Daphnia pulex: one gene and its partners. The protein of the gene in region 3 purifies or fractionates together with the protein of the main gene of each other region. This does not show direct contact. Links are inferred from orthologs where the notes say so. Each region holds a gene or a part of one and is shown on either strand. Other genes may lie near its edges.

Region 1 (7,048 bases), on a different chromosome or scaffold from region 3:
ATCTCAGTTTATTATGACTTATTTCTCGTGAAAAAAAGGTTATTTAGTACAAGTATGTAGAATAAAACCGGTTGGGCGCATTGACGTTATTGGACAACTATAGACTGGAAAACACTAAGCCTAACTTTCGATCGCACACGCTATCTTTTAGTCGTGAACTCTACATTATTTTTAGCCATTCATTTTACGCGAGAGTGATCAGAATTTGGAAATTGTGATTAAAGCGCTTGTACTTTTAAAAAATATGGCCGAATTTGAACAAGGAAAACTGAAAATTGATAAGAAAATAAACAAAAGTTGAAGCTTCAGTGGCCAGCCAAACGTAGCGCCACTTGCAATCCTTCCAGAAAAATGCTATGTGAAACTTGAAAGAGTCGTATCTATAATGGCGATTGGGCTGAGCTAAAATCGATAAAGGAAGAGCCGGGTTAGGGGACATAGAAACAAGGAGAAGCCTTTATTGTTTTGAATGGCCTGGCGTAGTGGCGTTTCTAAATAATGTGCCGGTCTGCTGTGGACCAGTTCATAATCTAGATTTGAAAGCACGTCACTTTTTGATTTTTTTTTCCCTGTATGTCGGCCATGTTAAAATGTAAAATTTTTCGTTAGAATAAGGATTGCAGAGGACTCCATCTTTGACACGATAAGCTCATAATTATTAAGGAATGTTTTTATTTTATTTTTTAGGTTAGAATCTTGGAAGAGGAAAGCTTGTCCCCGCCATCTTGCGTCACTAACGTTCTTTATTGTTTCAAATACATTTTTTTGAATTCTTGGTGGAATCGATAAAGAGAAGAAAGAAGTTGTTATAATATTTGTTTCGCATTACCAGCAACCTGGATGAGAATTGAAAACAAAACCCACGAGAGATGAGATTATTAAACCTACTTCAATTCCTGGCAGACGATTATCTTCCAAGAATCGTTGATGTTGTTGTTGTATGTTATTGATAACAGTCAGAACTACAGAACATTTGCAATTTTACATTCCACAGCTCAAGTAAACCACACGTAGGCCATACGATGATTACATTCTATGAAATAAGTCGCTTTTAAGTGGGAAAATGTTCACACAACTCTTATTAACAAACGTTTTTCGGCACAGGGTCAACAGTCGAAATTCAACATTTTCTGTGATGATAATGAAGTACACGTTGCCCACGGCAGAGGGCGCGATATCTCGAACTTTTCTTTATGTTTTATTTAACATACAATCGTCTTAGAAAATCAACTGAATTTTGAAAATACTTTACAAGTTAAACTTGTTTTACTTTAAATTATTTGTGAAAGCCACATGGTAAAAATATTTTCTATAAAAAAGAACCAGCAACAAGGGAGTTTAGAATTTTCAGGAGACATGACGGCCCTCTCGATCAAGCGCGTCTGGATACCGTTTTCGTAGCTTGAGGGAGAATAACAAGTGTGTTTCAACGACGAACGACTTGTGTAGGCTTGCACTTTTCCTAAAAACTCGATTGGATACATTGAAAAGTAGCTAAACAAAAGTCAATTATTGCGAAGAATTAAGGGGAGATTTCCTCCGTTTTCTTAGTAGGTTGTACGGTAATCGTGAGATTTCAAGTAAACAGTTTGTTTTGGCTTACATACGCAATTCGTGAAAAAGCGTCCACAGTTCGTTGTGTACGTTGTAGTGAAAGGTAACTTTCGAGATTGCCTTTGTTGTGACTTTCGATCAATCGTGCGAGGGAGCACTCAGCATATTTCAAAGATGAATGGGTTTAGCACGGGTTCGGGTGAGGAGGATTCGCGTGATTCCAAGCGAAGCCATGATCAACATTGCTGCCTGATTGAATTTGATCAGATGATTGACGATGGCGAGAGATGTCCTAGAATGGCTGGAAATGCCTCTTACAGGTATGTGTGCTCTAATTGATCAAGAAACATTATTTTCAACATTTGTTTGATTAGTAAACGGATTCAAAAGACTGTACAACAAAGGAAACTACGGCTACACATGGACTCCTCTGTAAGTTATTCACACAAAGTTTCAGTAGGGACAAGAAAACCCCCTATTCAAGGGTCCTTCGTGTCCAAGTAGAAATTACCTGTCTTTTGCATTAGGCTTTCACTTGGTCACAAATTGCCCTGGACTTTTAAAAGTGTTGGAAATCCTGAGCATTCCCTCCGCTTTTGGAAGACCAATAAAGGCACAACCACTGTGGATGTTCCCTTGTCAGTTTTATTCAAGATTCATGAAGTATTATTTAACTTGTGCATTATTATTCTTAATTATAGGCCAGACACATCTATATTTGTGATTACCACAAGAGCTTAATTCAGTCTGTTCGAGTCCGGCAGCGCAAGAGGAAAGATTCTGAAGACGACTCCAACGAAACAGATCGAGACACGCTCAGTCTGCAAGAAAGAGAACGTGATGCTCCAGAAGTTGATCTCTTCCAACTTCAAATCAATACGCTAAGGCGTTACAAGCGACATTACAAAGTGCCCACTCGACCAGGCCTCAATAAAGCACAACTTGCAGAGGTACAGATATTGCCTAGTTAACCTACTATTATTATTATTAATTACTTACCAATAATCCTCGTGATTGAAATGATAGACCTTGATGCGCCATTTCCGGACTATTCCCGTGGTGGAGAAGGAAGCCCTCCACTCATTCCTTTACACCGTCAAATCTAATAAAAACAAACTCGATCTGAAACCAAACAATGACAACTTGTAAAACCGTGGTCTGTCTATGCTTCAACCCCTCCCCCAGTGCAAATCACGTTAAAGCACGTTTGTCTTCGAAATGATGAACTAGCGAAAGGATGGAACTCAAAAATATGCGTGCGTCTGTTGTTTTCTCCTTGGCATGTTTTAATTATTAATTTAACCTTGTAAATTCAAATACATTCGAACGAAAGGTTTAATCGGTGCATCATAGTCATTTTATGTAAGTTCGCTGGTTACCAACATGACAGGCTCCTCTTCACTATCATTTCCAACATCTATGTAATTAAGGAAACGGTGAGAAAATTAGATTTGAATGCCGATAGACGAGATACAGGACGAAACCAATGTTTTTACCTATTTCTTCGTAGACCCTCTTTTTTACTGCCACAGGTGGGAGTGGTTCAACTTCCATCTCACTTTCGCTGCTGGACGTATCGCAAGAGGTTTCTAATGTAACAACTCCTTGATCGTTTACAAGTTTCGTCTTCGTGATTGCCGAAGGTTCTTTTTTCGATACTTCAGCCTTATGATGTGACGCCTTGAAATACACTTCGGCCTGTGACTGAGTGGTGATTCTTTCTGTTTCCAGCGCTACGCTAGCAACTAACCCACTGTACTTTCCTTTGGCTCTACAAATATTGCAAAAAGAGAATGTTATTCACTTTCGGGTGCCGAAGAATTAGGCTGAATACCTTTCGGCGGCATCGTCAGCCAGAGATTTTTTTAACATTTCAACCATTTGAACAGCTCTTGATGCTGCCACATTCGCACACGATATAACTGCTTCTTTATGGATAAACACCCCATCGCCAGATATCTGTAATGTGCAAAGTTCTCGGTATGCATTTAAACCCATCACAAGTTTTCCATCGGCAGAACGTTCTTCTAAATTTGTTGGGTCCAAGACGCAAATTCTCCTATGGGGAAAGTTATAAATACATTTTCCAAAGGGAAAACAAAATATAGCGATCTAGTTACCCTTGGTTAAAGAGAGCAAAGGAAAGAGTTAAAGGATGATGTAGGATAGTGAGTGGAACTGGATCCCGTTCATCTAGCTGATGGATGATAACATCCCGACCATCGAGAGTTACATCCGGTCTTTTAAAGTGACAAAGAGCGCCTAGAGCAGCCAAAGTGGCAGCATCAATCAGATTTCCTTCATGATTCAGTACATGTATATCAACTCTCACTTCCCAAGCTTGTTCCTCAACCAAAATGCACAGGCTCTCCAAATCAATGCAGCGGGAATCTGTTTTTAAAATAGTTAATGTAATAAGGGCCATTGATGTATGAGTGGCAATGTATGTACATTACCTTTAATGCACCTTTCAACTAGCCTATTGACTTCAATGCCTTGTTGTCCTAATCTGCCAGCTTCAAAATGTTCAGCTGCCATAGTAGACATTTCAACATTGATAAACAGCATGCCTTCATTTGCTCTTGATGATTTCGGGACTTGGACACTGCAAGAAACTTGCGCCATCACCCTGACAAAAGATTCATTAAGGATAAAACACGTTAGAAACAAGTACTGAAAAATGACACTAAAACATGATACCTTGTGTTTCCAAGAAGGACCTGGCAGCATCCCCATTCTGTTCCGAATGTAATACAAGTCTTTCTCTGTTCCGAGAGACTACGCCCGTCAACTCTCTAAGAATGAATCGTAAACAATGTTAACAAAATTCGAAAAACAACAACTAGACCTGTGAGAAATACTTGTCCTTCTTTGACGCCTTGGATTACAGTTTGTTTCTCACAAATCGATAGCGGTGTTTCTTTCATTTTAAATATAAACAGTTGATAACTAAACCAGTGTATAAAAGAATTAAGCACTATTTGACGATGGAAATAAAAAGAACGAATAATTCTGCCCGACTGAAAAAGAACAATATTTAAGCAGACCACGTGCGTGAATGACAGACAACGTTGCCACTCGAAATCTTTTCTCTAGATTTAGATAGATTTATGATTATCTTAACTTCTATTCCTAAATATCAGGAAAGATAATTTTTCATTAAAAAAAACTTAAATTTTATAATAATACAATTATTTCCAATATTTTGAAGCAAACCAAGCAGCAGCGTTTAAAATTTGGAACGATCCGTTACCACGGTTACGGAAACATGGAAATCAAAACAAGCACGGAAGAATAGTATTTTTTCTTATAAACGCTGAAAAAACAATGTTTCGTTCACCAAGCGCCAGCTCTTTGCCACACTCAAGGTAAATTTATCTTTGCTGTAATTTAAGAAAAATCTTAAACATGTACATAATTTCTTGTTTCCAACCCTTGTAAATCTTGAAGTGCAACCCAAACGCGCTTCATACAAAATAGAATTCAAGTAATCGAAAAACACTTTGGTGAGATCTGCACCGCTCTAGCGTTATACACTAGAAAAATAGCCGGGTTAGTTTAATTATACCTTAATTCGATGGTGTTCGTAATAAACATAACCTGTGAAATCTAAATTCAGTCAGCGGGATAAAGGCGATTTTCTGGCACAGACATTAAATGAGTACGCTACAGCAGAAAATGTCAACAAAAATTGCAGTCAAGGTATCAAAGACTTTGCCGATAACATTTCTTTCATTTCAGATTACAGGTAAGAGTTTGAATTCGTAACGAAAAAATTAGTCAAATTAATTAACCGACTTTATTTTTAAAAAGAGATGTTTGCGTTAACCGTTTGGAGGAAACTGTCATCCAAGAGATTTCAAGTTACGCGGGCGTCTGCAAGTCGGCCATGGAGGACGTCCGAAGCTGTAGCATTGCGTACGAAAAAGAAATAAGTCAATTAAAATACGTTCACAAGTTACGGCAGCAAAACCCGTTGGGACGAATGCAAATAAGCAAAGCGGAAAGTGATTTAGCACACGCCACAACACAATCTGTCCGACTAGGCAAGTCTATAGAGGAACGAGCCGACAAGCTCGAAAAGAAGAAGCTCAAGGATCTTATTAGCTGGATGAAGCGATTGGCTTTAATCGAAATGAGTTTTCACTCAACGTCGTTGTCCGTTCTTACAAAAGCCTATCAGCAGTTGGAAAACGTCGATGTGGAATCAGATTTGGAAGAATTCCGCAACACTTTAAGGACCTATATGCCTCTTCCAGAATCCAGTCCTGCCAGAGCCCAATCTGTGCCGTCAATTGCGTTGCCTAACACACCAACAGAAACTGCGTCCAAGGTCAAACGTTCCAAGTCTTTCTCTGATTACAGACAGCGAGCCGAGGTATCTATTCATACTAAATCTTGGAGTGTTGATCAGTTCTGTGATATGGATTTTGTTTTACAGTCCCTGGATTCACTGAAGGTGGAGGAATATGAAGAGTTAAAACAAATGGAAGGCTCAGACGATGACGACGAAGAATCCGAAGAAGAATCACCTCGCCCGCGATCTTCTCACGTCCGGCGCAAATAGCTGTTACAAATAAAGAGGTCCAGAGTCTGATTTATTTCAAAGGTATGTTAAATACAAAGCCAGTACAGGGAATCTTTAGTATCTCTTTTAATGCTGTTGACGCTTGATGCGGCGCTCCAATTTGCGTTGCTTCTTGTCATCCTGTGCATCCTGCTCTGCAGTTGGGGCTTTCTGGAAAAACCATGGACTAAGGAAATGTTTCCAAGCCAAGTGAAACAGTCGACAGGGAATCTAAATAAGATAATTTTAAGTAATAAAGAATAATGAAATGAATTTCTGAATAACTTACCACCAACAAGATAAGCCAAAAGTAACTGGAGATGGAAGACAGAACCTCGGTTGCACTTACTAGGATAATGGCATCTTTAATTTGCCTTTAATAACAAGAAAATGTGTTGACATACAAATTCATGAATCAGATCACAATTGAAAGCTTACTCTGATATTCCAGATTCCATGTTGAGATCAATTCCACCATCTAACAATTGTCCTGTTTCACTGTATTTGGCTCTAGCCATGTAGGCCATAAAGCGATAGCAGCAAAACTGAGCAAATGAACTCAGACATATTAAGAACTGAAATTCAAAAGAATGTGAGCTATAAATATTAAAATTTTAAATAATAATTTAAAAAAATCAACTATACAATATCAAATGAAGAGGTGGTGGACCAAAAAATGGCAGAGAATAATAAGTATACACCCACTGCCACAACAGACATATTTCTGTAGAAGTTGAGTGTTGCAACATTCTCTTCGACAATCTGTTTCTGGCCCTTGGTGGCCTGTTTTGCGCTCTTCTTTTCCTAAAGTAAGGGAAGCAAAAAAAAAACAAAATTACTTTACTTTGATTGACGGATGCAATGAAGGGATAATCGACGACACTTTCTCTCTTTGAAGCTAGAAAAAGTAAACGTCATGCAAGAGTA
Region 2 (6,262 bases), on a different chromosome or scaffold from region 3:
GGATTGTATATCAAACTTGGACAAGGCCTGGTTTCCATGAATCACATTTTACCAAAAGAATATCTTAATACACTTAAAGTGCTTCAGGACAAATGTCTTGCTAGAGGGGCCACTGAGATTGGGCAGTTGTTTGAAGAAGAATTTGGGAAGAACCATAAAGAATTATTTGAGGCATTTGATGAAGAACCTATTGCTGCAGCTTCTTTGGCTCAAGTATAAATATAAAGTTGTAATAGATTAAGTAATAGACTGCATAGATTGCAGGGACAGGTGTAAATAATCAGAATTTTTGATCAGGTGTTTAGGGCCAAATGCAAAGATGGAAGAGAAGTTGCTGTAAAGGTTCAGTATATTGACTTGCAGGATCGGTTCAATGGTGATATTGCTACAATCGAATTGCTACTAGAACTGATCAGTTGGATGCATCCAAAATTTGAATTTAAATGGGTTCTCAAGGTACGAACGAAACAACTAGTAAAAATCATGCTATTATGTATTAAGGTTAAAGATATGTTTGTATATTTAATGCAGGATCTGAAGGGTACTCTTTGTAAAGAACTCGATTTTGTCAATGAAGGACACAATGGTGAAAGATGTGCCAAAGAGTTGTCATCGTTGCCTTATGTTTATGTCCCAGATGTCGTTTGGGATCTGACTAGCAAGGTAATATATGCACTAATTTCACTTCGTTAGGGTATATTATAAATTTTTTTTAACTGTTTAGCGAGTCTTAACGACAGAGTTTATCGATGGGATTAAAGTGAGTGATACAGGCAGTCTAGAAAAAGCAGGATTTTCAATAAAAGATGTTAGCCACAAACTGGTTGAAATGTTTGCAGAACAAATTTTTCACACTGGTTTTGTCCATGCTGATCCACACCCAGGAAACAGTAATCAAAGAATTGGTTCTTGTTGTTTCAGTGAGACTCTAATTACTTATCTCTTTGTAGTCTTAGTTCGTCGAGGGAAAAAAGGCGACGCACAGATAGTTTTGCTGGATCACGGATTATATGAAGAGCTTCCGTCTACTGTTCGCAAATCTCTTTGTCGTTTGTGGTCTTCAATAGTGCTAAACGATCACGTCGGAATGAAGCATCATGCCGCTGCCCTTGGAGTGAATGGTTAGTAGTTTCTCTTTCTATTATCAGTATTTCCGTTGTCATTTGAAACTTCGTTAGGCAAATTTTTTCTCGTAACAATTTTGAAAGTTGGAATGGGTTTGTATTATGACTAGATTACCGATTGTTCTGCATGGCCGTGTCACAGCGCTATATTTCAGCGCCACCATGGCCAACTGAACACGATTCAGTGAATCAGGTCTTTGCTTCGTTTTACGATCACAAGGGGCCGAAAGTAGGAGAATGGCAGAAGATGACAACCGAACAACGTCAAGCAATTCGAATTCAAATGGATGAAATTCATGAAAGGATGATGGATAGCTTCCGGGCCATGCCTTCTCAATTGATGCTCATTTTTAGGTATTTAGTTGATTGCAGTGTTGGTCTGTTGGTCTAGAACTAGGTCAGGAAGCGTACAACAGATTCTCAATTTTGCTGCATCAATACGTTAATTTAAGAATTGTTTTAAAATTGAAACTTTAAATAAGATAAAACGAAGAAACTCTTTCGCGGTCTTTTTTGTATAGACTATTTGCTCTTCGCTGAAATGCTTCTTCAAAGACCCATCGGAAATCAGAAATTCGCTTTATCCAACTTAAATCAACTTTCTGAAACTGATTTGAAATACATGCAAGAAATGGCGGGGCAGCGTTTCGACATGATCATGAATAACCTTCGTTCCATGCCAAGAACAATGCTTTTAACTATTAGGTAATACTGGATATTGAATTAACAATAAGCTGTAATCCTTAGAGAGCTGTGTGATGCAGCAAAATTGATAAATTTGTATCAGCCTACTGGTTTTAACTAAGGGCAGCTTTCTAAGTTAAAATTAACAGATTTATTTTATGTTTTGTTTTGTTTTTTCCTTTTTTTTATAAAGGAACATAAATACAGTTAGGGCAATAACCAAAGACCATGGCAGTCTTGTCGATCGTTATACATTGATGGCCAGAAGTGCTACTCGAGGATTTTTCATCGTACCTGGTGCTTCATTTGGTCAACGTCTACAAGGAGTCTTGCAACAATTTCTATTTGACTGGCGATTGTGGTAATTTTAAGATGTCTCTTTCATTTACGTGATAACTCAGTGAATTTTTTTTAACAGGTGGGATAAAACACAGATGAGGCTCACCTTTTGGGGCCTTCGTGTGTTATTTTGGCTTGGTCGTGCACCTGATATGACAATTGTCGTACAAATGGTTGAATGATTTCATTAGAAATTGTATTTAGTAGCAGGACACAAATGTCGCGTGAAATTTGTAATTGCAAGAATTCCTTTGAAATATTCAATTATATATCCTTTTGTGTTAAAAGACATTTACCGCATGAAGCCAACTTTTTGGGATACTTCCAACGTTTCTTCTTCTAGGAGCTTTTTCATCAAAATTGTGTTGACCACCGCGCCTACTTCACTTCCCGTCTACTCAAACAAGAAACATTAGACTGCGGGATTGTAAAGAATAGAAAAATTTCGAACCTTGAGCATTGACACCAGGCTGTCTGGATGCAAACTTCCGGAGCCAATTTTCCTAACGGCAGTAACTTTTTTATTGCCTGAGACCGCCACAACAATACCAGAAGAGCTGCAGCATTCTTCTTCTGGTGTTGGATCTACTAGGTAATGGTTTCCAATCTGAAAGTGAAAACACAGTATTCGACTAAATATTTCAAAATTAAAACTTTAACTTTCAAACCTTCATCAAAGTCACTACACAAGGAATGTTCTCTGTGTTCAGTCTCTTGGTATCATAAGGATCATCAGAGAGCTCCAGTTCAGGTTGATCCCCGTCCATAGTTGCTACTTTAATAGAAGGAATTTGTGTTGCATAAAGAGCCGATTTCACAGCCAATGAAACTGCATCATAAAGGTTCCCTCCACATTCAAGAATCTATTTTAATGCCATAAAATATTTCATGAGAAATTGTTGATTGGTAGAAATATCACACCAGCATTACCAATATGTCAACATACAAGACCCAACATTGCTGTCCTGTCAAGACAGAAAGTTCAGATAAATTAATTGTATCACCTGAAGCATAAGATCTTTGAAGGAATCTACAAATTTCATTTGCCAGATCTTCTCCACCTCTCCCTTCAAATTCTGGTGTTGCATTTGCAGAGCTAAATTAACAAAAAGTACTATTAACATAAAAACTTTTAAATTCTATTTATATTTATTGTTTAAACAGACCAATCCACAAAGAACTCCAGCCTTCCTTCTTTGGGCTTATCAGGTAAAGGGGAAGCTAGCTCTACTTTAACTCCAACAAGAATATCAGAGTTTGCAAGTCTCAGCCTTGCCGATCCACTGGCATTTGAAACTAATCCAGTTTCAAGAATTATAGGGCGATAATCCAGCCTTGTTCTACCATCACATCGTAAATCATCCTTGGATATTTCAAAAATTGAATTTTGTTAAGTAAGGACAATTTATTTTTATAAGAGCTGATTGATTTAAGTATTACAGACCAAAAAATTTTACTGGCAAGACCGACAGAATTTAATTATACCTGGACACCATGATGAATGAATGCTTTCTCAGCTTCACTTAAAAGTATTTCTGCCATTGATATGGAGCTCAAAGGTAACCAACGATACAGAAAACAGTAACAACTAACAAACGCAGATGACTTTAATCAAAATACCACGGGAATGTAAGTAAACTGTAAACCTTACCAGACCTTACTAGTTTTCAAGCTAGTATGTTTGTATATGTCTGCACTCGACAGTTGTCTGCTACATTAGGGCAACGTTGTCGGACATCCGTCAGGTTCAGATTCTAAAGACAGATTTAATTGGTTTATTTATTTGCCAATTGCGTTTTTTTACTACAGTACGCACATTGATTGCACGCCATTTATTTTTACATTATACATGATTTTATGCGTGTTACCATACGTTTTACATTATACGTGTTACCATTTACCATGGGCATGGAGAGACCTCTCCAAACCCTTGGTGTTACATAAACATTTGGTATTCATTTTCATATTGGTTATTGATTGTAGACCCACCCCCCAGCAACGTCAACCTCCAGAAGGAAAGGCCAGCTTTTGCATGTCCTTGACGCTCGAAGGTCATGGAGATCATTATGTAAAACTTGTCATGCAATGGTGTAGAGGTTGGGTGAGAACGAGACGTTTTACACAACCATTTGGTATTCATTTTGATATTGGTTGTTGTAGACCCATCCCCAGCAACGTCCGACCTGCAAAAGGAAAGGACAGTCACACTTGAAGGTCACGGAGATCTTTACGTAAAACGTGTCATGCAGTGGAGTAGAGGCTGGGTGAGAACGACACGTGTAGCATCATTATCAAGCAGGTAAAATAACCGCAAGGCTTAAGAGGTGAGGGTGAGAAAAAATCGTATAAAAGGCGAGAGAAAAGGCGAAGGTAAATCAGTTGAGGGAGCATCTCCGACACGGCAACAACTGCAGCGCTCTGTCTGTCAATTCGCATGGTAAATATTCTGTCTTTTACGTAGAGTTTGGTATCAATCCTTCTTTTGTTTATGTATGCCTGTTATTATGTAATATTTATGTTAAAATTGCTAATTGTCTAGCAAACTATGGCGTAGTGCTGCTGTTGTGTGTTGAATCATCGATGGCTGGGTCGACCACTGGTGTACCGATGTCTTCTTGGTATGGCGGATACCAAACTGCAACGCCGCCGCCTTACTACCCAAAAGCAACTTACGCAACGACCAGTTACTGCACCGAGGTCTTCAAGTACTACACCACTAAAGCACCGGACTTGAATAGCACAACTTACGCTGCCCCGAGCCACTACACTGCCGCCCTGAAGTATTTCTCTGCCCCGAGTTACTACACCACCAAGGCGACGGAAGATGACTACGCATGCTGCCCCATCCTCCGAGGCTCATACACCGAAGCTCCTAAGTATTACTCTGTTCTCATCTACTTATTGCACCGATTTTCCTAAATACTACTCTGTTCCCAGCTGCTACACCGAGGCTCCCGCTGATTACTACACCGAAGCGGCAAAGTACTACTCTGCCCCGATCTACACAACCATAACTGAGGCGGCCAAGTATTACGCAGTCCCGACTTGCTACACCAAAGCTGCTCTTTCGTACTACGTTGAACAGGAATACTACATTGATGCTCCAGTTCACTACACCACGACCTACGCTACACCGCAGCCCACAAGTACTACACCGAAGAAGCCGCCTACAACAACGTATGCTGCCTAGTTTACTACACCGAGGCTCCCAAGTACTACATCACTAAGGCACCGGATTTCTACACGTCTATGTGTGCTACCCCTGCCTAGTACACCGAGGCCCCGCATTACTACAACACTGAAGCGCTCAAGTACTACACTACAACCTGGCTTCCCCGAGCTACTACACCTACGTCCCGAAGTATTACTGTGCGTTAAAGGAGTCTTCAAAAAAAGGACCACCAATTGCTTTCTTCATCGTGTAACCGATTCGCAATCATGGGTAAATATTCTTATTTTTACATTGAGTTTTGTATCAATAATATTTTTTTCTATTTGTTAATATGCCTGTTACTATTTAATATTAATGTTTCAATTTATTTTGTTTAGTCAACTATGGCGTCGTGCTCCTGTTGGGCGTTGTATAGTTGATGGCTGGGTTGATTGCTGGTGTAGCGATGTCTCCTTGGTATGGCGGAAATCAAACCGCAACGTCGCCGCCTTCCTACTAAACTTACGCAACGACCGGTTCCTGCCCTGAGGTCTTCCAGTACTACACCACCAAAGCACCGGAGTTTTATACCACAACTTACGCTGCCCCGATTCACTACACTGATGCCCTGAAGTATTACTCTGCTCTGAGTTACTACACCATCTAGGCGATGGATGACACCACACGACTACATATACTGCCTATCCTACTACACCGAGGCTTCTAAAGTATTGCCCTGTTCTCAGCTACTTATTGCACCGATTTTCCTAAATACTACTCTGTTCCCAGCTGCTACACCGAGGCTTCCGCTGATTTCTACACCAAGACAGTCGAATACTACACCGAAGCGGCAAAGTACTACTCTGCCCCGATCTACACAACCACAACTGAGGCGGACAAGTATTACGCAGTTCCGACTTGCTACACCAAAGCTGCTCTTTCGTACTACGTTTACACTGATGCT
Region 3 (6,906 bases):
CGGCCGGTTGGGGTTTTTAGAAGTAGAGGGACACATCCGCTCGGGTTATGTTTATCGGGGCCGGATGCAGCAGCCGCTATTATCGGACTTTAACCCCAGCACATGTCGCACTCGGTAAATGTACCACGTCGTTTTTTTTTTTTACAGAGCGTGCACTTCTCTGAAAAGAGGCTGACGGTTGTTCTGGTCCACTCACGAACATTCCACAGAGACCAATAATTGTTGTCTATCTATCCCCTTTCCAAACCAGATGCGGATGTTGTTCCTTTCAATGCAAACGCTTCGCGGTGAAAACGGCAGACGTGGACTGTCGCTCCAGGGAAACCGCGCAGGTGGCCGGTTTCGATAGTTTGTTTCCCCTCCTCATTCGTTTTATACCTGTTAGACATTTGCAAACAAATGACGGACACACGGGATGATGGAAGCCCATATATTCCCAGCTGCAGATCGCCTCAAAACTTGCCACAGACTCTCGACTATTTTTCTCTGATGAAGGCAAACAGATTTGGTGCACCTGCTGGAAGTGGGGGGGTGAGTCCGTCGGTCGATATGGAAATGTCGCAGCTTTTTTTTATTTTTCTAAAAGAAATAAAAATACGGGGGGATTCAAACTTTCATTATTGACCATGGTAATTTTTTTGTTTGGTTTGGTTTTCCATACGCTTTCTTTTGTTCTACCCAATTTGGTGAAGTGCGGCTCCGCAATGCCCACCCCGAAGAGTCAGACTTTTTGGCATTTTCTGGTATTATTTGAGAGCGGAGTCATCGATCGATTTCCTAGAACTGAAACTTTTTGATAATGTTGTGTAAGCCACAACGTGATCTGCCGCCAAACTTTTTTTCCCCCTCCTCGCTCTCTCTTTTTTTTTTTAAAATTTAAACGGTTCACTACACACCCGAGTCCAAAACTTGTTTTTCACGTGGCAGACGTAAACAAAAGGATCAGAACCATTATTATTTTTGAAAAAAGATAAAAAGTTGCCAAAATAGTTTGGAACGAACTTTGATTGATAACGAGTGGTTACATTTAAAAAAGGAAAATACAAAAAGGATAGTTGAATCGTTAGAGCCATTAATAAAGGTACATTACTTGGTCAGACGTTATAATGAGTCCACTGTAACGAACATTGTGCATTTAGGTTAGTGAGGCTAATTTTGTTAAGATACGTTGTGATATTTTGGACGGAGATTACGAAGGTTTTCGAGATTATTCGTGTTTCAAGTCATGGATGATTCGACTATGGTCACACCTTCCCTGTAAAGATTTCGTTCGTTCCATAATTGAGTTTCAGAGCGCCGGGCGATGGCTTTGAGTTTCTGCAGTACAAATTAATGAAAAGTTAAGCAGATAGTATCGAGAACATTCAGAGCCAGTTCGCGTTTCCAAGCAAACAAGTCGTGTAGCATTTAAAAGATGCACGTTACCTGGTAATGCATATTCATCTCTTCGAAAATAGCTGATGGCCACGACACATTGCATGTTCGCTCGGTGAGTTTGCTCAAGCGGTTGACAGCATTCAAGAGGGCAAAGGCTCGGATTTCGACATCGCGTGGTTGAATGGGTGGGCACATGGAACGCAAGACGTCGTCAACTAATGGAAGGACAGATTTTGCAACCTAAAACACAACAGAACTTTCAGACACATAGTAATCTTTGGAGTGTCACAACTGAATTCCAACATAACAGAAATGCATGCAATTATTTTTCTTTTAGATAATGAGAGTTGTACCATTGCCAATTCAACAAATCTCTGTTGATCTGTAGAAGCCATAGCTGTAGTCACAAGCCTTTCACTCATCAAGTGACAGCCTTTTAAAATCTGAAGGCAATGAGGAACAATTCCAAGGGCATCGTCCACCCATTTCCATCTGTGAGATTCTAGAACTTTGTCCAAGTCAGGGTGAATCACTAAATCTTCAGGATCAATATTGTCCATGATGTAGTCTTCATCTTCCATCTCTAGGCTACTGATTAGATGAATATCAGACCTACTGGGAAATTCAAAAGCAAAATTACTCCCAACTGCGAAAGAAGTCTTTGTTCGTTTTTGAGATAGTTACCTCACATGGAATCCATTCTGCTGCACTTGTGGGCTTTGTTCCTTCTTCTTAAATTTAGAACCAAGATTAAAGCAACATAGTTTATATCTGCATATAAACAATAGCGCAAGGAGAGCAGCAATGAATACGGAAGTCAAAATCCCTCCAGTCACAACGACAACAGCGTGCATTGTTATGTGCTGAAAAAGAAAGCAATATAAGAAAATCTTTCGATCGTTTCAAGCGTCTGTCATATATTAGTTACCTTCGCAAAAACGACAAGTTTGGATGACACAGTGAACCTTTATAAGTACTCAATAACGAAAGTCCAAGTTAATAAACAACTAGTGCAAACATTTTTACGGCGGGATTAAAATTGTTATTATTTTATGGAAAAGAATGATGGTCAAGGCACTTGTTGATTTGTTATTTTCGGGGAACTTTTATAACGCCCTTGGCAGAATTTTAAAGCGCAATAGCATTTTCAAATGAATAAAAAATATTTAGTCGTGGGTTGAAAAATATTCTAAATTTACTAAATATTTTACTTGTTCATAGATATTCAATTAATTAAGTAATATAGATCCTTTTTAAGTTTAATAATAAATAAATCAACTGTTTAACTAACGGTGTATTACATGCATAATGTAGCAGACGACAAGTGGATTCTGAAAGCATGATTCTTTGGTCAACGGCGAGACTGAAACAAGGCGATTCACGTGCTTAATGTTTTCTGTGAATAATCGCAATAAGATTTTGTTGCAATTGATGATCAGAGAATATTTTTAAAATGAGTGAAAAAGAAAGTGAGAAGAATGGAAATGCCCAAGAGGTTCAACAGGTAGAGCATTGGCTGGCCAAACATTTTGAAATTTCATATCAGTCACAACTTGATTTTCTCTGTTTATTTAGAAATTATTTCAAAGTGCAATGAAGGTCACAAAGTACTCTAATGAATTACCAAGTAGTGGTTCAGACTGGGATTACTACCAAAGTTATCCAGCATATGCCAGCGCAATGAAAGAATTTGGTGGTCGCATTACTAACTTGTGAGTTACAGCTACCGTTAAGTATAAGAATTTTGTTTGATCCTAAAATTTTTATTTGTCAAGGATGACCACAATTTACGGACACTATGGACTAACAGGAAAGGTGGGAAAATTGGATTTGGAAGAGCAGATGGAGCTGGTGTCGGACAACAATGACATCTTGATGGAGCGAATAGTATGCTACTAGGAATTATTAGAATTTTACACCTGTTAAAAAAAACTGCTTTCGTTTCAGAATCTTTCTCTAGATGAAGCTGCTGGATTAAAAAAACAAGCAGAAACTGTAGTTGTTGAGATGATGGCAAAAACTACAAATATTAATGGCAGTTGGAATCGGCATTCTGTGGTATCTAGTTTTTCATACCAATTGTTGTCTTAGATGCTGAATCTATAAAGTATTCATCTTGTTTACAGAGTTCACCAGCAACCTCTTACAAACTTCTTTCTGCTAAAAACATTCTGAGACCACAGTTGAAATTCAAAGAGAAAATCAAGAATTCACCTGGACCGTTTATCCCCAAAATCAAAGATAAGCCTCATTCGTTGAAACCACTGGCGATACTATTAGAATTGAATGACTTGGGCGATGAAGAGTTTAGCCATCCGTACGAATTTGAATTGGAACGTTTTACACCGGATCCAAAGTTCTTCACCGTACTTGATGAAGTGCCTCCATTCCCAAGTGTTCAAGAAATCCCTTTGGTAATGATAGATACTGAAGAAGGTTTAAAAAGTCTTTTGAAAGTTTTGCTTGAGGAAACTGTGATTGCTGTAGATCTGGAGGTATTATTCACTGTCTAGCAGTTTTTAAATTGGTGAACCTTATTAAGTTCCTTAATTATTTATTGCCAGGCCCATTCATATAGATCCTTTCAAGGCCTAACATGCTTAATGCAAATTTCAACAAGCAGTTCTGACTACATTATAGACACTTTAGAGCTATGGGATCAACTACAGCCTTTAAATGAAGTTTTCTGCAACCCAAAGATTGTTAAGGTATGAGCTAACTGTTTAATTGAAGAAGTAACAAACTTATTTTGTTGGTTTTCGTTTAGATTTTTCATGGAGCTGATATGGATATTCAGTGGCTTCAGCGCGATTTCGGTATCTACGTCGTTAATCTTTTTGACACTTATCACGCTGCCAAATTATTGGGTTTTGCACAGCTGTCCTTGTCCTTCCTCCTTCGTCATTATTGCCAAGTTATTGCTGACAAACAATACCAGCTAGCCGATTGGCGAATTCGTCCCTTGCCTGAGCAAATGGTCAATTATGCTCGAGAAGATACCCACTACCTAGGATACATTTACGAAAAGATGAAAAAGGATTTGAAGATGAAGGGAACAGGAGATAATTTGCTGACAGCAGTTTGGCAAAACAGCCGACTGGTTTGTCTCAAACGTTACAGAATTCCCCCTATCACTGCCGAAAGTCACTTGGAATTGTATAGGCTCAGCAAGAAGATTTTCAACGAACGTCAGCTGTTTGCATTAAAAGAACTGTTTGCTTGGCGCGATCGAATAGCTCGAGAAGAAGACGAGAGCACTGGTTTTGTTCTACCCAAACACATGTTGTTACAAATCGCCGATGTTCTACCTAAGGAGATGCAAGGTATCCTTGCCTGTTGTTCACCTATCCCTTCGCTCGTTCGTCAGCATTTACTTCATCTCCATGGAATCATATTAAAAGCCAGAGAAATGCCTCTCGCCACTCTACAACATCACGGCCAGCCATTAGCCATCCCGAAAATGATGCCGACTCCATTGGATCAAGACACCGAAGACCCCCTTTATTGTATGCACGACTTGACACATTCTCAGGACATCCGAGACGACCTACCCACTCTGCTGAATCCGCAAACGATCGAATCAATGGCGTCAAGATCCGAGGAGTTTGGAGTCCGCGTCACTGTAAAAGAGTTCCCACAAGCTCTAATCTTCGCCGAATCGGCTCATTCTGGCATCGTGACAAATGTATCAACTAATTTTGTTTCTCCATACACGAGATATATTCGTGTCAGAGCTCTAAAGTCGGCCGAAGAAGCCGCAGAAGCACAACGTGTCGAAAAGTTGCGCCAACATTTCATGGAAGAAGTGGCGCATTCAACACCCGATGCCCAGCGTGAAGCGGAAGCGATGGAAGAAGAGGCGGAAGCAGTAGCAGTAGTTCCTGCGAAGAAAAAGAAGTTGGCGTTGAAAGCGCAGGGACTTAACAAGAAGAAGAAGAAAGTAGGGAGTACTAAACGAGTAACGGCTACTCCTGAAACATCTGTAATTCCATCAAACTCCAGCTCCCCATCGAAAAAGTCGGCGGATGCAGTAGTGCCGTCAGCATCCAAGAGCCCTAATCCAGCAACATCCAAGAGCCCCAATCCAGGAATGAAGAAAAAATCATTAAAACGACCGGCGAGCAAAGAAGCAGGAAATGACAGCGGGGCTAATTTCGAACCATTTGATTATTCCCAGGTTGATTATCACGCTTTTAAAAGGAGCGCACTGCGTGAAGATGGTGATGGACGCGGTCGGGGTCGAGGAAGAGGCCGTGGTGGCAAAAACCGAAGAGGTGGTCCCGGACATAGCAATAACAGAATCCACAGAAAGGGTGGCCAAAAGAGTCTTACGTATTCATCGAAATAAGTTAATCTACACTCTTTTGAAAATTAATTTTTGAACGTCGTATTCTTGTACTGTTGTGGATGAATCCGTGAACCTGTTTATCCTCTCTTAAAAATTGTTCGATTTTCAATCGTTTTGAAGTAAACAAGACACCGTTTGAAAAGAAAGAAGCAATTTGTCGTGTCAGATGTAATGGCGGAATCTGAATTAGCAAAAAGCTCGAGAACATTACCCTTTGGACGAGTCCTTTGGATATTTGAAATATGACGACGCAGAGTAATAACGGAAATCAGCAAAGTAATTGGGACACTTGTGGCAAGCTAATGTTAGCAGCGGATGAATAACCATCCGATTTTAATGGGACTTTAACCATTTGATGAATGTCGTGTTCTAGGGTTTCATTCAGGGTTTCCTCCCGGCTGATTGCAACATACGTACAACTACAACGAAATCCTTTCGTGGAATGAACGCGGTAATGACTTCTTTTGGGGTTTCCCTTGCACAGAGCTTGCGGTTTCGCTTGCAATGAATCTTTTATTTTTCTGATGATGCCGAAAAATTTTGATATCCCAAGGTTGATAACTCGCAAATTTATGTGGCTGGCCAATCCAAATTGCTTTCTGGCGCATTGCTCCGCCAATTGTAGTGAATGAAGAAGTGCACTTACACCTCCATCTGGACTTGAATCGCTTTTTTCAAAAGCGGGTAATGCGAAAAAGGGCAAGTTGAACCTTCAGTCGTTCGTCGCCATCTGAACAAGGAACACCGACAAACTACACCTCAATTATCCTCTAATAATCTTTAACATTCCACTTAGGTTTTAAAGCTTGCAGAGCAGCTGGTCGTCATGGAAGTGGGTCGGCGGTCTGATAATGGACAAATACGATGGGAGACTAATGGGAATGCAGTTTCCCTAAAGAAAATGGCCAAATCTCCGCTCGAGTGTGTGAATACACCAGTTCTTCCCACTGATCCACCGGGAAATGACCTTCGTCGTACAGACGCAACTGCCACATCGCTACATCCAGTTAAATCCGAGCAAGTGACAACGAAAAGTGATATAATCGATGAATTGCTTGAAGGGTTCCAACGGAAATGGTTGACCTTGCGATCCAACAAAGGGAGAGTTCAATCCACTACAATTTGGAGAAATGGTAATACAATTTTTATTTTGTCCTTTATATAATTTTTAAAATTTTTAA

The links. Proteins that work in one complex are often made in the same cells at the same time.
Region 1: the proteins of exosome component 10-like (region 3) and exosome complex component RRP45-like purify together in Homo sapiens (co-immunoprecipitation; 7 studies listed by BioGRID and IntAct, with this or other methods). This does not show direct contact. The link is inferred for Daphnia pulex from reciprocal best matches to the Homo sapiens genes EXOSC10 and EXOSC9.
Region 2: the proteins of exosome component 10-like (region 3) and exosome complex component RRP42-like purify together in Homo sapiens (affinity purification with mass spectrometry; 6 studies listed by BioGRID and IntAct, counting the BioPlex papers as one, with this or other methods). This does not show direct contact. The link is inferred for Daphnia pulex from reciprocal best matches to the Homo sapiens genes EXOSC10 and EXOSC7.

The regions. Positions count from the first base shown.
Region 1 is NC_060019.1:12,893,489-12,900,536, reverse strand, and holds exosome complex component RRP45-like, read right to left. Parts: upstream 4,622-7,048; 5' UTR 4,482-4,621; coding exon 4,416-4,481; intron 4,350-4,415; coding exon 4,255-4,349; intron 4,184-4,254; coding exon 4,011-4,183; intron 3,946-4,010; coding exon 3,675-3,945; intron 3,614-3,674; coding exon 3,389-3,613; intron 3,326-3,388; coding exon 3,051-3,325; intron 2,972-3,050; coding exon 2,934-2,971; coding exon of another isoform or gene 2,913-2,933; exon of another isoform or gene 2,858-2,912; coding exon 2,717-2,857; 3' UTR 2,704-2,716; coding exon of another isoform or gene 2,581-2,703; 3' UTR 2,554-2,580; intron 2,505-2,553; coding exon of another isoform or gene 2,256-2,504; intron 1,987-2,255; coding exon of another isoform or gene 1,929-1,986; intron 1,886-1,928; 3' UTR 1,875-1,885; coding exon of another isoform or gene 1,729-1,874; 3' UTR 929-1,728; downstream 1-928. Other genes in the region: histone deacetylase complex subunit SAP30 homolog, read left to right, coding at 1,729-1,874, 1,929-1,986, 2,256-2,504, 2,581-2,703; protein FAM92A-like, read left to right, coding at 4,882-4,922, 5,005-5,106, 5,174-5,302, 5,368-5,932, 5,996-6,121; transmembrane protein 208-like, read right to left, coding at 6,209-6,352, 6,411-6,495, 6,560-6,696, 6,767-6,925. UniProt on the Homo sapiens protein: Non-catalytic component of the RNA exosome complex which has 3'->5' exoribonuclease activity and participates in a multitude of cellular RNA processing and degradation events.
Region 2 is NC_060020.1:2,139,863-2,146,124, forward strand, and holds exosome complex component RRP42-like, read right to left. Parts: upstream 3,943-6,262; 5' UTR 3,799-3,942; exon of another isoform or gene 3,736-3,798; 5' UTR 3,690-3,735; coding exon 3,633-3,689; intron 3,511-3,632; coding exon 3,314-3,510; intron 3,244-3,313; coding exon 3,078-3,243; intron 3,011-3,077; coding exon 2,816-3,010; intron 2,755-2,815; coding exon 2,599-2,754; intron 2,542-2,598; coding exon 2,440-2,541; 3' UTR 2,330-2,439; downstream 1-2,329. Other genes in the region: uncharacterized aarF domain-containing protein kinase 5-like, read left to right, coding at 1-213, 298-456, 532-663, 725-890, 951-1,121, 1,235-1,478, 2,002-2,169, 2,227-2,329. UniProt on the Homo sapiens protein: Non-catalytic component of the RNA exosome complex which has 3'->5' exoribonuclease activity and participates in a multitude of cellular RNA processing and degradation events.
Region 3 is NC_060022.1:1,680,929-1,687,834, reverse strand, and holds exosome component 10-like, read left to right. Parts: upstream 1-2,647; 5' UTR 2,648-2,830; coding exon 2,831-2,881; intron 2,882-2,952; coding exon 2,953-3,089; intron 3,090-3,152; coding exon 3,153-3,264; intron 3,265-3,324; coding exon 3,325-3,435; intron 3,436-3,503; coding exon 3,504-3,872; intron 3,873-3,941; coding exon 3,942-4,085; intron 4,086-4,144; coding exon 4,145-5,725; 3' UTR 5,726-5,871; downstream 5,872-6,906. Other genes in the region: transmembrane protein 98-like, read right to left, coding at 1,219-1,317, 1,426-1,617, 1,731-1,992, 2,062-2,231; 6-phosphofructo-2-kinase/fructose-2,6-bisphosphatase 1-like, read left to right, coding at 6,552-6,858. UniProt on the Homo sapiens protein: Catalytic component of the RNA exosome complex which has 3'->5' exoribonuclease activity and participates in a multitude of cellular RNA processing and degradation events.